Linked DNA regions of Mus musculus: region 2 is reported to be linked to region 1. The links are microRNA targets in miRTarBase. Many come from high-throughput screens and were not tested one by one. Region 1 holds a microRNA gene; the other region holds the end of a gene's coding sequence.
Evidence for each region. The annotated mature microRNA mmu-miR-212-5p reads ACCUUGGCUCUAGACUGCUUACU and lies in region 1 at 4,448-4,470, shown strand. An mRNA with a match to its seed (bases 2 to 7 or 8) in the 3' UTR can be bound and repressed. Matches are read on the target gene's strand: a 7mer-m8 pairs with bases 2 to 8, a 7mer-A1 pairs with bases 2 to 7 and ends in A, and an 8mer does both.

Region 1 (7,115 bases):
TTGTCCCGGGTCCCTTGCCCTTCCCTGTCGCCAACTCGAGGACCCACCTGGGGGGCATGTCGGAAGCCCCGGGCCCGGCTGCCGGCGGATCCAGGGGGGGACGTGGCTGCAGTGCGCTGCCCTCCGCCCGCCGGGCCCCCGGTCGGTCTGTCTTGCCGGTCCGTCCTCCCCGCGTCCTGGTCGCGTCTCAGCCCCTCCGCGCTTTCCGCACACTCTTATCTGGAGCGGCCCGAACCGGCAGACGCTGCCGCGGCCATGGCGCCACCTCGCGGCCACGCGGGGACTGTGTGCGGCTGGGCTGCGACCTCTGGCGCACACCTGGGCCAAGAGGCTTGCAGATGCGGAGCTGAGCAGATCTTGCAGGTTCGCGCGCTTCCAGATGTGCCCACCTGGAGACTCAGATATCGGACCTGGGAGTCCCATAAACCTGGGGGTTTTGTGCTGAGTGCTCCCGAGTACATATTTATATGTTATATCGCGCCAATTCGGGGGGGGGGAGGGGAAGGTTCTGTCTTCAAATGAGGAACTCTTAAGCCAGGGATGGTGGCGCATTCTTGTAATCATCCTAGCATAGCACCCAGGAGTTGGAAGCAAGAGGACCAGGAGTTCAAGGTCAGCCTCTACTACCTGAGACCCTATCTTAGAAAAGGGGTTGGGGTGGAACACTACGAACAGTATTCTGTGAGAGGGCGAGCTTAGAAATCCTAAGTGAGATGAAGGTACATACGTTCGGAGCAGGAGCGGGGCGGCTTTTATTAGACATTTCTGAACACCATTATTCACTTGGACTCAGTGGAGAGAGACACATTCCAACTCTCCCTCAGACACATGTTATCAGTATGCACATCATAAACCGTCCACACTCAAACTCTGTCCAAGCAGTGACAAGGGCGCGCCATGTTTACACAGACCGCCCACCCCCTCCCGGAGTCCCAACTTCTTGGGCTACTGCGGAGGCTACTACGTGAAACGGGGTAGAGGTCCTACCAAAGAGCCCTCCCCGAACTTGCGGGTCTCCAGAAGGACCCTAGAGCCCTCCATTGGAAATAGCTGGACAGAGCCCCCTTGCGACGTGCCCCTCAAGTCCCCAATCCCCCATCTAAGCAGTTTTGAGGGATCTTAGTTTGCCCCCCCCCAATACACCATTCGAGAGATATCACGAGAACGGGCGGCTTGAGACCCCCTCAAAAAAAGATCCTACACGCCACACAAGGGAGAGCTCATTCATGTTGGTGACTCCTCTTTTAGGAGGGAGGGGAGCGTGCACCAGCTCTTGGGTGCTCACCGGAAATGTCCCTGCATAGCGGGGCGGAGGCATAAGCACCGTTGCAAGCACCGCGCCTCCGTGGCCCACGCTCCGCCTCTTCCCCGCACCTCCTGACCCCCGCCCACGCTATAGGGGGGGTCCCCCCAAACCGCCCACAGCTTCTTATTGGCTGCGCCATCCTCCGTGGCCAAGCCGGAGAGGCTGGGGCTCAGAGTTACTATGGTAACCAATGAGGTTCCCGGGATCTCATCTCTCAGAGGCCTTGGAGAGCTTAGCAACCGCGCGGGGCGCAGGGCGGGTGGGGGCTACGCTCGCCGCACCCCACGCTGTCTTCGAGCCCCCACTCCCCCGCTTGAGGTAGTGGCTGAGTCACTCGCCCGGGGCAGCCGGCCGGGCCTCTAGCTGTACCAGTGAGACACCAAGGTCTTGGGCGCCTCCTAGAGGCTGCGTTTCTTTGGCAGGAGACTTCTATGCCTGGCCTAGGCTTCTGGTCCAAAGAGTCTTCAAGGCTCACCAGGTTTCCGCGACAGTGTGCTCCGCCTCCATCTAATCCACTTACTACTTCGTATCTCCGTACAGTGTCCATACAAGACAAACACTGCAGTCCCACGGTGGACTCCACAATTTCTGAGCTCTAGGAGAAGTGAAGAGGTACCTTGGTATCTCTGTCGAGGGATACGCCTTGGGGCTGAAGCGGAAGTGTAACGGAGCGTTTGAGGATAAGAAGGCTCCCCAGAAGTGCTCTTAGGGATGAGTTTTGACAACTCTGAGTTCTCCCACAAGCAAGGGTGTCTCTGATGTCTCTGTTTTAAATGTTTTCTCCTTTTAATGGGGTTAGATCGTGCGAGTCTGGAGAGAAAGCTCTGTATGTGTTTTACACAATGGAGTTTATCCGCTGGTTGACCCATAAGGAGGTCGGCTGGGTCTTCAGTTCCTTCTTGTTCTATCCCTCTCCACCGACTCAAGCCCTTGTTGTATCGCTATGGGGCCAACCACATAAACCTTGCCCAAGTTTCACTGTGTACTCCCCTCCCCTCCCCTCCCCTTCTCTCCTCTCCTCTCCTCCACGCCCCACCACCACCACCACCACAGTTTCAAGTCTACGGCTAGCCTCGAACTCACAAAGGCGTCTACTTCCCACGTACAAGGATGCGCACCACCATGCCCCTCCTCTTAACTTTGCTTTCCCCTTCTTCCTGAGCTCCTCTGGTCATCCTGGTGCAGCTTCCTCCTCTCCGTGAACGCATGACGACCCCATTTAGAGCCCGGAGACAGAATCGGGCTGTTTTGGAGGACCTGTTCCATATCGTATTTGCCTTTAGTCTATTCTGACTCCTTTAGAAAGGAGTCCCAGCTACACACACCCTCTGCCAAGCTATTGAGCCCCCTTAGTCTCATTTTCTCTCTTACAGGCTCTGCCTATGCCTATTCCACCCCACTGAGGTGGCCCCCTCGTGCCCCCTGGGGCACTGCCAAGTTGGCTCTCCAGTACTTGTCAGGCTAGCCCTTCCTTTTGTGGATACTCCGTACAGGGATTTTCCAAACTCTTACAGAAGATCTTCTGCTCATTTCTAAAGTCCAGACCACTCTCCTTAGACTCCCTGATCTTCTCTGCGGTTTCCACCATCTGACCGGTACCTTTCCTCCTGTGACCCAGTCAAGAAGCCTTCCAAAACTCCCAGGCTTCTCCACCCCTCTTTCCCCAGCTCCTAGATGTCAAAGTCCGAGGTGCACTCTACTCCCCTCCTAAACCGGTCCAGTTTCTTGCCTCACCCCCCACCCCCCCCCCACACACACACCAGGAGAGAGCGAGGATACCACGGTGGCCAAATGGGAGTGATACCATCGCGGGGCATCTTCTGGCGTCAGAGGACTGTAGGGTCTAGGGAATGAGCAGTGTGGTTTGGGGCTGCCAAGGGAGGACCCCTGCGGTCCAGGAGAAAAGAACTGAGATCCTAGGACTCGCAAAGCCCCGGAAGGGGAGAGTGAATAAACACAGAACGGGGCCTCACCCTCCCTGCACTATTCTCCCCCAGCCCGTCGCCTGCAGTTCCGGAAAGTTAACCCCTTGGAGGCCAAGCCTGGGGTTACGTACTCCCCTACCCAACCCTGCTTCCGCGTGCGCACCCTCCTCCCGCTCCAACTCCCTGTCGCTTCGTCCCGCCCTCCCCTACGCCCCCCCTCCCCGCTTGCCACTATAAATAGCCTCTTTTCCCGTTTCCTAAATTCTCTGCTGACGTCGGCAGCGCGTCAGTGTGTAGGAGCCGCGGCCGCATGAATGAGCCGCCGCACGAGTACTACGCGCGCCTATAAAAGCGGCGGCGCCGGCCGGGCTGCGGGAGGCAAGCCGGCACTGGTGCGACGCGGCCCGACAGGTAAGGACCACCAACAGTCGGAGATGGGCAGATGCGCGGACGCCATGGGAAGGCGAGGAGGGGACCGGAGGGGCGGCGGGTTGGAGGGGGACTCCGGAGTGAGGATGGGGGGCAGAGTGGGAGGGACGAAGGTTCCTTTCAGCTTGGTGGACCAGGGGCCGGCGGCTGACCCAACCCTATGCAGCACCTGCCGGCACCCAAATGCAGACGCAGACACTATGGAGAAACATCAAGCGGAGAGCCGAGCCCCCGACCCCATTTCCCGAGGCTGAGCAGCTCCTGCGCCATCCTTTCAAGAAAGTGGGGAGAAGGTGCTGGCGTCTCAGGAGACGCGCCCCCTCATTTCTCCCCTGTCCGCAGAGCGGTGACTCAGCCTAGATGGCCCCGACTGACTGAGCCAGGGCGCCCACGACAGACAGACGCACACCTCGGCCCTGCGGCTTTCTTGGGACCCCCGTCCTGCATGCTCCACACACGCCCCTTCCCTGTCCCGTCCCTTCCCGTCCGGTCCCGTCCCGTCCCATCGGACTGTCCCACTGAGCTCAGGACTTCCCGCCTCTGCAAGCGGAGCTGTCCTCTCAGGACCAGGCGGGGGCGGGGCTTCGATCAGGCCGCCCCGCCCTACCCCCACCGCTCCCCACCGCCGGAAATGCCTCCCCGCTGGGACATCTTTGACGTCACAGGACTCTGACGTCACGGTCGCGTGTCTGTCCGCGCGCGCTTGGGAGGAGGTGGGGGGGCCTGAGAAGCAGCAGCACTCTCAACTGCGGGCGACGGGATATCCCCGCCCGGGCAGCGCGCCGGCACCTTGGCTCTAGACTGCTTACTGCCCGGGCCGCCTTCAGTAACAGTCTCCAGTCACGGCCACCGACGCCTGGCCCCGCCCCAGGACCGCCGACCCCCGGCCCCTCCACGCCTCCCTGCGCCGCTGTCCGCGGTGCTGATGCAGTGCAAGCGCCTCCCTCGGGCACGCCTGTTCAAGGTCCCTGTGGGTTGCGGTGGGCGCAGGCCCCGCAGACACTCGCGCCACCCCCGCCGCCCGCGGTGCTGACGTCAGCCTGCAAGCCCCGCCCCCGCGTCTCCAGGGCAACCGTGGCTTTCGATTGTTACTGTGGGAACCGGAGGTAACAGTCTACAGCCATGGTCGCCCCGCAGCACGCCCACGCTCCCCACCACTCCCGAGTTCTGCCAGCCTGGGTTTGGGCAGATACAGAGCAAGAGGAGGCGGGGCGGCGACGCAACATTCGATGTGTCTGCGGAGGTGGCAAGAGGTGTGCTCAGAAAGGCGGCCTTTCAGGCTGCTGTGCATCTACCTCGGTGCAGAAGCAAGATCCGCGGAGTGTCTGAACATCCTCCTCAGAGACTCTCCTGTCTTCCTAGTCGAGGTATCGCTGCCTAAGGTGGCGAGAAAATGGGTGGTTCTGCGATAAGGATTCTTATCTCATGAGTGGTGAACCGATGGGATCAGGAGTCCTGTGAGAAGGAAGAAGTCACTTTTGCCAGCAGAAAGCTGAAGGGGGAGGAGAAGGAAGTTTTATCACACCTTTCTTCCAGAAAACCCTAGGTGAGCAGGTAGAGGGGAAAGGGCAAAGAATCCCTTTCCTGATAGAGCCATAACTCTGTCCCCCAACTTTCTCCTGGGCCATCATTAAAAGGGTCCTTAACACAGCAAGAAGCTGGCAGGCTAGTGAAATTCACCTGGCCCCTAATTCATTGTCTGAAGGTATCAGCCAGCAGTCTTCCCTCAACTGGTCTGTAAGTAATGCATCCCAACTTGAGATCTTCAAACGTGCCCCCAAAAGGAGTACAACCACAGAGACTGCACGTAAATACTCTCTGTGGCTAGGGCTGTTGAGAGACTCTGTCTGATAGGGTAGAAATCCTGAGTGTAATCAAGATGCAGAAAACAAATAGCAGGGATAATTTGAAAAGAGGACAGCCGGACAGTGGTGGCGCACGCCTTTATTCCCAGCACTCGGGAGGCAGAGACAGGCAGATTTCTGAGTTCGAGGCCAGCCTGGTCTACAAAGTGAGTTCCAGGACAGCCAGGGCTATACAGAGAAGCCCTGTCGTCTCGAAAAAAACCAAAAAAAAAAAAAAAAAAAAAAAAAAAAAAAAAAAGAAAAAAGAAAAAAAGAAAAGAGGACCTTTTGCAGATGGAACCCATCAGAAGATGTGGTTAGAAGGTTGACTATATAATGCTTTGAGTGTTCGTTGTCCTAGAAAACATTTAGTGTAAACCATGCCTTCTTTCCCAACTTTACACATTAGAAAGCAGAAGCCCAGGTTGGGCATTTAGCCTATAGAGAGCGGTAGTTTTTGCTTGCTTTTTACTGGACAGCAGAAAGACCAACCAAAACCAGGAGCTGCAGTGTATACCTGCAGTCCCAGTTGCTCAGGAGCCTAGACAATAAATATGAGATAAATATGAGATTCGTGTCTCAAAGGGGGGGGGGATGATGACAACAGACAAGAATATGGGGCTTTTGAGTCTGAATCATCCAATTTTGAGTAAGGTACTTAGCCTTTCTGTGCCTGTTTCCTCAATTGTAAGACTCAGTTATTAGGTTAATGACAGTACTTTTTCATGAAATTAGACAATGGGGGGGGGGGGGGACAGGGGTGCTGGGCATAGAGCTCAGTAGTAGGTCTGTGCTTAGCATGCCTAAGGTCCTGGGTTTGATCCCAGCACCAAAAATAAATGAGTTAGGCTATGGTAGAGCATGCTCTGAATACCAGATCTTGGGAGACAGAGATAAGTGGATTTCTGTGAGTTCAAGGATAACCAGAACTTCCGTGAGACCCCCGTCTCAAAAATAAGTTAGATGACAGGCTTCTATTTGTCTCATTGTCTGGTATAGTTAATTCTCAATAAATGTTATTTCTACCTCTGGACCTTATCCGCCTGGGCTGTACATAAATGTTAGAGCATTGATTCCTCGGGGGGAGGGGGCTTCTTTTTCTCCCCAGAGGGTTTTGAGTCCCACTAGAGGCTCTTTCCTAATACCACATATTTACCAGAGACTTAAAATTCTACCCAAGACTGTAGTTTGCAAATAGCTACATCAGGAATGACCAGGGGCAGACAAATAGGTCTATAGTTTTCTCTAGGAACTCCAGGTTTAACAAGTGTTCCTTGTGTAGGTGGCCCCCAGGGATGTGCATGTGGTAGTTCATTCCGCATGGTGGGAAGTAACTCTCCACTTGTTGGGACTCGGAACTGTTCTGATTCTTGGGAGGGCTCTTCACTTCAGACATGGGCCCTTCTGTGTGTTCCACCTAATAGAGCTCTGCTTGAACCCTCTCCTCCCTTTTTCCTGGTAGAGCCAGGGCCTACAGACCACTCACATGAACCTTTGCCTTTATTTATAGGGCTACCAAGTACAGGTCATCCTGTCCCCCAGCTTGGAGCTGACACAGGGGGCTGCCTATGACTGCCAGTGGTCTGAGTACTAACTTGCAAACCCACCAAT
Region 2 (7,106 bases), not on the chromosome of region 1:
CTGGAGCTCACTTTGTAGACCAGGCTGGCCTCGAACTCAGAAATCCGCCTGCCTCTGCCTCCCGAGTGAGTGCTGGGATTAAAGGCGTGCGCCACCACGCCCAGCTCAGATCTCTGTTTCTTGTACCCCACCCTTGGAGTCCTCCCTGAGGGAACCCTTGTGAGACTGTCCTTCTGGCCCCCTCTCTCCTCCATTACTCTTGTTTACCTGTGTGCCTCTTACCTCTGCTCCCGTTTCTCTGACTGCCCTCTCTGCACCCCTTTCCTCACTAGCCTACTTCCGGAAGACCTCAGCTCTTGGCACCTTCATCTTTGAACTCCATATTTCTGACTACCACTAATGCATCTCTATTCTCCAAACATGCTTTGCATTCTATATTTCTACACCCCCACACTCCAGAACCCTTTCTAGAACCCATTTCTAGACCTCACCTCTGAACCCTGACTCCACCACTCTGCACCTGCCCCTCTTATTCTCCCCCGCCTTTGTGCTCCGTTTCTCTGGCTTCCATGGTCTGTACCTCCTCTTTTGGCACTCTTAGCAACCCACCTTTCTGTAGCCACTTCTGTACCTCGACCCTGAATTGCCCCTGTTCCCTAAGTCTCGGATCACCTGTTGTAACCTCCTTTTTCTAACCCTTTCTTTTGTAGCCCACCTTTCTAACTTCTCCACCTCCCCATTCCCATTTTTTCTGGTCTCTCTTCAGCACCTCAACGTTAAGCAGTGCTCTTGGGTACCCTGCACAATCACCTTGGAAGGTCATGTCTTTCAACACAACCTGCGCCCTGATTTACTGCATATCTTTGTACCCTATCTCTGCGTTACCTCTATATATGCCTGAATCTCTCTGGATGTCTACCTCTGCACCCCCATTTTGGACTCCATCTCGCTAGCACCTTCTCTTTATCTAGATCAACACATCCCTGACCCCCCCCCCCCTTTTTAACGATTTTTTTTTTCCCAGCAGGGTTTCTGTAGCCCAAAGTAGCCTCTAATTGGCTACTCCCTTTCTAGTCCAAGCTGGCCTGGAACTCATGGAGATCGTCCTACTGAGTCTTGGGGTTACCAAGCGCGTTCGCCTCGCCTGGCCATTCTCCTTCCTATCTTAGAAGTGCAAAACCCTAGTCCCCATCTCTAGGCCCCGCCTCCACGCCCCCATTTGCGGACCACCATTGGGCGTGGGCCTGGCTTCCGCAGCATGAGGGCGCGGCCGCCTGGTCCTGCCCCGCCCCGCCCCTCTCGCTGCTGAGTCAGCGCTCTGCAGCCCCCGCCCGCGGGAGGACGCCCCGGGAGTCCCGGGAGCCCCGAGGAGGCGGGCGGAGGGCGGCCCTGGACTAGCCCGCAGCTCTGGGTCGTGTGTGCGCAGGAGAAGCGGCGGCTGCAGGAGGAGATCGGCGCCGCGCGTCGCGAGCTGGAGGAGGAGAAACTCCGCGTGGAGCGGCTCAAGGTTGGGGGCTCCTATCCAGTCCGGGGAAGTGAAGTGGGGTGTCTGTGTGAGTCCGGCTGAAAGACAATAGGAACCTCTGACTAATTTGGGAAGGGGGAGATGGAGAGGAGGCAGGCGAAAGGTAGCCATGGAGACAGCTGTCCCACTCTGGAAGAGTATGGGGGGCGGGGGTGGAGGATGGTGGTGAGCTTCATCCCAGTTTGGTGGTGATGAGAGGAACCTGAGGCCAACGTTGGGGTGGAGAGGGGCACATTGAGAGGTCTTTCCGAGCCTAGCAGAGCCAGTCGACTGGGCAGGCTGGAAGGATAATGGTTGCATGCCTCTGCTTGGGAAGGCTGTATGCTGGCATGGTGTTGGGGTACGAGATATGGACATGTCTCCCATCCTGATGGATGCGCCCTCTGGGTGGTTGCAAGCAATGGGTGGGGAGGTAGGCTTCCTGTGGCTAGTCCCGGACTCTCGTTCCATACCCAGAGGAAATCTCTCCGAGAACGTTGGCTCATGGACGGGGCAGCTGAAGGGCCAGAACGGCCGGAGGAACCCGCCTCCAAGGACCCACAGTCGCCTGAGGGACAGGCCCAGGCTCGAATTCGCAACCTGGAAGACAGTTTGTTTTCGTGAGTTGAGAATCCCTGATTTTGAGCCATGCCCCAGCCTTTAGCAGCTCTAAGAAATGGAGCAGGTTTGGTCCATTCCGGCTTCCAGCAGCCTCCTTTCTCCCTCAGACTCCAGTCACAGCTACAGCTGTTGCAAAGTGCGTCCACAGGTGCTCAACACAGACCTGCTGGTAGGCCCGCCTGGCGCAGAGAGGTGAGCAGGGCCTGAAAGAGGTGGAGAGGAGGGGGCTGTGGTCAGCAGGGTTAGAACAGGACACAGCGGAAATGTGCTCTCTCAAAACGCAGCCTCTGCCTTGGTAGAGAATGGTAGGCAAACCCACTCACTGTTACTTTGTTCTGTGTTCTGTGCAAGTTGGTTGTCTTGGCTAGATCTTAGTTTGCTCATCCCTAAAGTAGGAATACCAACTCAGAAGTGCCTTTGGAAGGGCCAGTGAGATTATAATTGAAAGCAATTAGCCCAATCTCGAAGCCCGCGACCTTGAACTCGTGATCTCCCTGCTTCAGCTTTCCTTGTGGTAGGATTACCGGTTCCTACCACCAAGCCTTGATCACAAAGGGACTTAGTGTGCATGCAGGTGTGTGAATACAGGTGTGTGCAGCTGCCCCATCGTCTTTCTTCACATCTTTCCTTCACTCCACGCTGGCCACATTGTCTCTCTTCTATTATTCCCTTTAACGTCTGGCTCACCCGGGCAGTACTGTAGCCTTAGCCTCGAACAATGGTCTCCAACTCAGCACTCTGGACAGGGCACACCCTTCTCGGCAAGCCTCTTGAAGCCACGCCCAGCTCAGTCTCTAGGGGAAACCTCCTCACCCTAGACCTCTCTTCCTTTTCACCGCTTTGTTCTCTCCCCTTAACTATTTGCAAACGCGGCTTATTTATTTGTTGTTATGTCTATTACTTACCTCCTCCCATTGGAACTTAAAGTCTGATTGCATCAGGTCTTTACAGGTTGAGGATGTGGTTCAACAGCAATATTGCAATAACCTAGTGTGGCCCAGGGCTTGGGTTCCATCCCAAGTATTCCTTCCCCCAAATACTTTATACTCACCTCAGAAGCTGTCCACGCAAGCACTAACATGATATACTGTTAACATGATATACTTTATAGTCACCTCAGAAGCTGTCCATGCAAGCACTAACATGATATACTGTTTAAGCGGGTGGGGCACAAACATACCTGGGAAGTACAACCTGGGACCAATTTTGACCTTGTCTCTATTCTCCTTGCAGGGTCCCCGTCCTCTCTCTCAGTCTGCCATGGAAGCAGCTCCTACCGGTAAGCATTGGAGTCCCCAAGACCTGGGGTACCGTCACCACCAGATCATGTGACTCAAAAGAATCTGGGGTAAGGGTCCTGTTATTCCCCCATCATCCTGACCTCCCTGTCCCGTCCTCCCTTGATTCCCCCAGCCCCGACTGATGTGGACAAGCGAACTTCCCTGCCAGATGCTCCAGTGGGCATGTCCCCTGAGTCTCCTTCTGATCCCAGGGAGGAGTCGATTGCGGTTCTACCAGCCTCGAGGCCATCCACTGAAGCTATAGGGACATCTTCAGAAGCCAATGGCCCCTGCCCTGGGCACAGCCCTCTCCCAGAGCAGCTGAGTCTAGGGGTGTCGAGTGTCACTAAGGCCAAAGGAGATGGTGCAGTGGAGGTGGTTTGGGCTGGGCTTAGAGCCACTGAGAACAGTGCCACAGGCCCCACAGATGTGGAGCTGGAGGCTAAGGTGGAAGAAGTGGTTCTGGAGGCCATTGGGGCCAGGCAGGGCACCAGCAGCCCTGAGCTCCCCACTTGGGTGAAGGAGGGCAGGGGTGTAGTGGAAGTGGTCTGGGAGGGGCTGGGAGGCAGGGATCTTGATGTCACAGGGGAGTCAGGCAGGGATGCAGAGGCCACACACACCAGTTCCAGGAGACTCCAGGAGCAATTTGAGGCTGAAACTTGCAGAAAAGAAGAAGGTGCTTCCAGAGATAGTCTTGAGGGTGTTGGGCAGGGAGGTCCTGGAGTAGAGGAGGGATCCTTCATTTGGGTGGAGAGAGTGGCCCTCAGCGAAGACTGGGAGGAGATTTTGATGGAGGGTTTGGAAGCACCGCAGGGGGCAGGGTCTGCAGGAGAACCTGAGGCTTTGATTGGAGCACAGCCCAGAGGAGGTGAAGCGTCCTGGGAGGTAGAGAAGAGAGAAGTAGAGAAAGTTGAGGGCATAGAAGAGAAGGGAAGGGCAGAAAAGCTCGGGGCAGAGAGGGAGGATGGTGTAGCTGTGCTGCCAGATGAGACCCAGGGAAGAGAGGAAAACGAGGCAGAAAAGGTAGAGAGAAAAGACAGTGAGGGCCCCTTTCCAGCAGAGATAGCAACAGATGAGGAAAAGTGGGAGGTGAAAACGACGGAAGGTGAAGAGTCGTTGGAAGTAGAAAAGGGAGGTGAGGCAGAGCCGGTCACCACTGAGAAGCCATTGGTGACAGAAAAAAAGCCAGAGGGCTCACTGGAGACAGAGAGAAAAGGAAGTGAGATGCCATTGGACCAGGAGAAAGATGGTGAGGGCTCATTGGACAGAGAATCAAAAACAACTGAGATACTATTGGATGGAGAGATAGGAGATAAGAGCTCATTGGATGAAACTAAAGGAAGCAAGAAACTATTAGATGAGAAGACAGGAGGTGAGGGCTCATTGGATGAAGAAGCTGAAGGAAGTAAGAAACTATTGGACAGGGAGGCAGATGGCATCGAGCCATTCTCTGAGGTGGACAAGACCTCAGGCGCCAAGGATGATGTGAGTCCAGAAGAGCAAGGCAAAGCCAACGAAGGAGCAGAGTTCCAGGCGGAGGATGCCAGCCCACCAGGAGCCACTGTTTGTGTCCAGGACGAGCCCAGGTCAGAGGAGCAAGGACAGCAAGAACCAGAGAAGCAAGAAGGCCTGGTAGAAGGGGCAGCCAGTAAGCCTGAGCCCTGTACTGAGCGAGAGGGTCCCCCAGGGGATGCTACCCTGCTCCTAGCTGAGACCCCAGCCCCGGAGCAGCCTGTGGAAAGCCAGCCACTGCTCCATCAGGAAGCGTCCAGCACTAACCCTGGTGACCACCCTGCACCTACGTATGCCCCTGCCCAGCAGCTTGAGCTGGCTGAGGCCAAAGAAGCTAGTGGTCCCAAGCAGAAGACGTGCCAGTGTTGTGTGGTCATGTGAGCCTACGCCTGCCGCCAGCACCCCACTCCTCCTCTCACAGCTACCTCGCTGCCTGGCACCCAGCAGAAGGTCCCAGGCATAGACAGGGTACCACAGGACTGGTAGTGGCACCCAGGAGCCGGAGGGCCCTGTGCTTTTAGATTCCCTGCCCACTGCCTGTGGCCCTGACTCCCTTCTGCAATGAAGCCTTTATACTTGAAAATTAAATGTTAAGGCACTCTGGCTTTAAGAAAAAAAAGATTTATTTATTAATTTATTTTTATTTATTTATTTATTTTTATTTTATGCGTGTGTTTTTCGGTGCATAAGTAACCATGTGTGTGCAGGGCTCACAGAAGCCAGAAGAGGGCATTGGATTCCTTGGACCTGGAGTTACAGGTGATTCTGAGCTGCCCTGTGGGTGCTGGAAACTGAACGTGTGTCCTTTGCAAGGGCAGGGAACCAAACTTTGGTCTACTGCAAGAAAACACAGGCTCTTAACCACTTCAGGCCCTTGAATGTGTCTTTCGAGTCACCACCTCATAGCCTGCCTGGTAGTTATTCTTACTAGAATCAAAAGTTATGACTCGATGAAGTGACGCACACCTGTAATCCCAGCTCTGGGGATGCTGCAGCAGGGAGGATCACAAGTTCGAGGCCAGCCTTGGCTACCTAGCAAGCCTGTGACACAAGGAGGAAATAACAACGATGGGGTTGAGGCTGTGAGCTCACTGATTCTTCTGCAGTAACAAACAGATGCCCAAGACCCAGAGGCAAGGAAAGCAAAAGCTGGTTGGGCGGGAGGCGGCACACTCATTTCTTCTCAGTCCTTGGAAGGCAAAACCAGGTGAGTCTTGGTGAGTTCCAGGCCAGCCTGGTTGTTATATCAAGTTCCAGGCCAGCCATAGTGAGATCCTGTCTCAAAAATCTAAAAATACAAAAACGTCTAGCCCAAGATAGGGGTACAGCCCCTAGCCGTAAGCAGATCAGACTAGAAGGCCCAGCTCCTCTGGTGTGGGCAGGAAGTGTTTCTCATACCCAGAGTAAATTGGGGCAGAGGCTTTAGGGGACTCCACAACAGGCTGTAGCTCCACTTCCTCCACCTCCAGGATGGGTCCGTCCTTGGGCGGTTGGGGCAGGCTCACCTCCTGGGGAGATGGAAGCTTGAAACTCAGTGCTCCTCCCCTCCCACTTGCCCCAGCATCCTCCAGTTGGAGAGTGGTGCTCCCAGTTAGAGAGTGGTGCTCCCAGGGGTGCCGTTTTCTCACCTTGATGTAAGGTTGCCCAGAATTGCTGTTGGCAGGATCAGGAACCCTCTCCCAGATCCACTGGGGAAGCAACTTGTGCCGCCAGTGTAAGCACCTGGCCTGTAGGCACCTGGTGGCAAACATATTGCTAGAATCCATGAACTTTCTGAGCCCTGAGGCCACCCAGCCAAGGCCTAGCTGCCAAAGCCCATGTCTGGAAGCCTTACCTGGTACTGGCCAGGCTCAGGCCACAGCCCATCAGAAGCAAACCCCACAGGGACAGAAACCAGGGCAGAGCTTTCCACCTGATCCTATTATCTGTGGGTAAGGAGAATAGTTGGCACTAAGTAGACAGCCATCTTGAACAAGGGGTCTGTGAATGGGAGAGGCTTTTGAGTGGATGGGGTTGAAGATATGGCTATCCTCAAGAAAGACTGGGCTTTTCAGTGGGTGGGGCAGAGGGTCCAACCATCATGAAGAAGGGGTGAGACTTAGGGCACAGGAGTGTGCTGACAGGCAAAGCCAAGGTTGGGAGTGCAGCTGTTTTAGACATACAGTGTTGGATACTGCAATGGCATTTAGCAGAAGCAGACCTGGGGTGTGGTCCTGCGTTCCATCCTAATCCTCTCCATCAGGAGCTTA

Region 2: miRTarBase lists Il27ra as a target of mmu-miR-212-5p. Seed matches in the 3' UTR shown: 7mer-A1 at 6,045-6,051, 7mer-m8 at 5,880-5,886 and 7mer-A1 at 5,596-5,602.

What each region holds. Positions count from the first base shown.
Region 1 is chr11:75,168,956-75,176,070 of GRCm38, forward strand. Mir212 (microRNA 212) reads left to right here and starts at 4,433; the gene lies at 4,433-4,523. It overlaps Hic1 (hypermethylated in cancer 1), which reads right to left and starts at 1,300. Exons shown (of 2, transcript NM_010430.2): 1 at 48-1,300. The coding sequence starts at 564. Ovca2 (candidate tumor suppressor in ovarian cancer 2) reads right to left here. Exons shown (of 2, transcript NM_027136.3): 2 at 6,988-7,115. It overlaps Mir132 (microRNA 132), which reads left to right and starts at 4,727; the gene lies at 4,727-4,792.
Region 2 is chr8:84,024,828-84,031,933 of GRCm38, forward strand. It overlaps Il27ra (interleukin 27 receptor, alpha), which reads right to left. Exons shown (of 14, transcript NM_016671.3): 12 at 6,692-6,782; 13 at 6,486-6,594; 14 at 5,459-6,365. The coding sequence ends at 6,204. It overlaps Palm3 (paralemmin 3), which reads left to right. Exons shown (of 7, transcript NM_028877.1): 3 at 1,367-1,447; 4 at 1,922-2,064; 5 at 2,173-2,257; 6 at 3,299-3,344; 7 at 3,479-5,468. The coding sequence ends at 5,238. Among named protein-coding and RNA genes, the nearest start is that of Palm3, 6.9 kb to the left of the region's middle.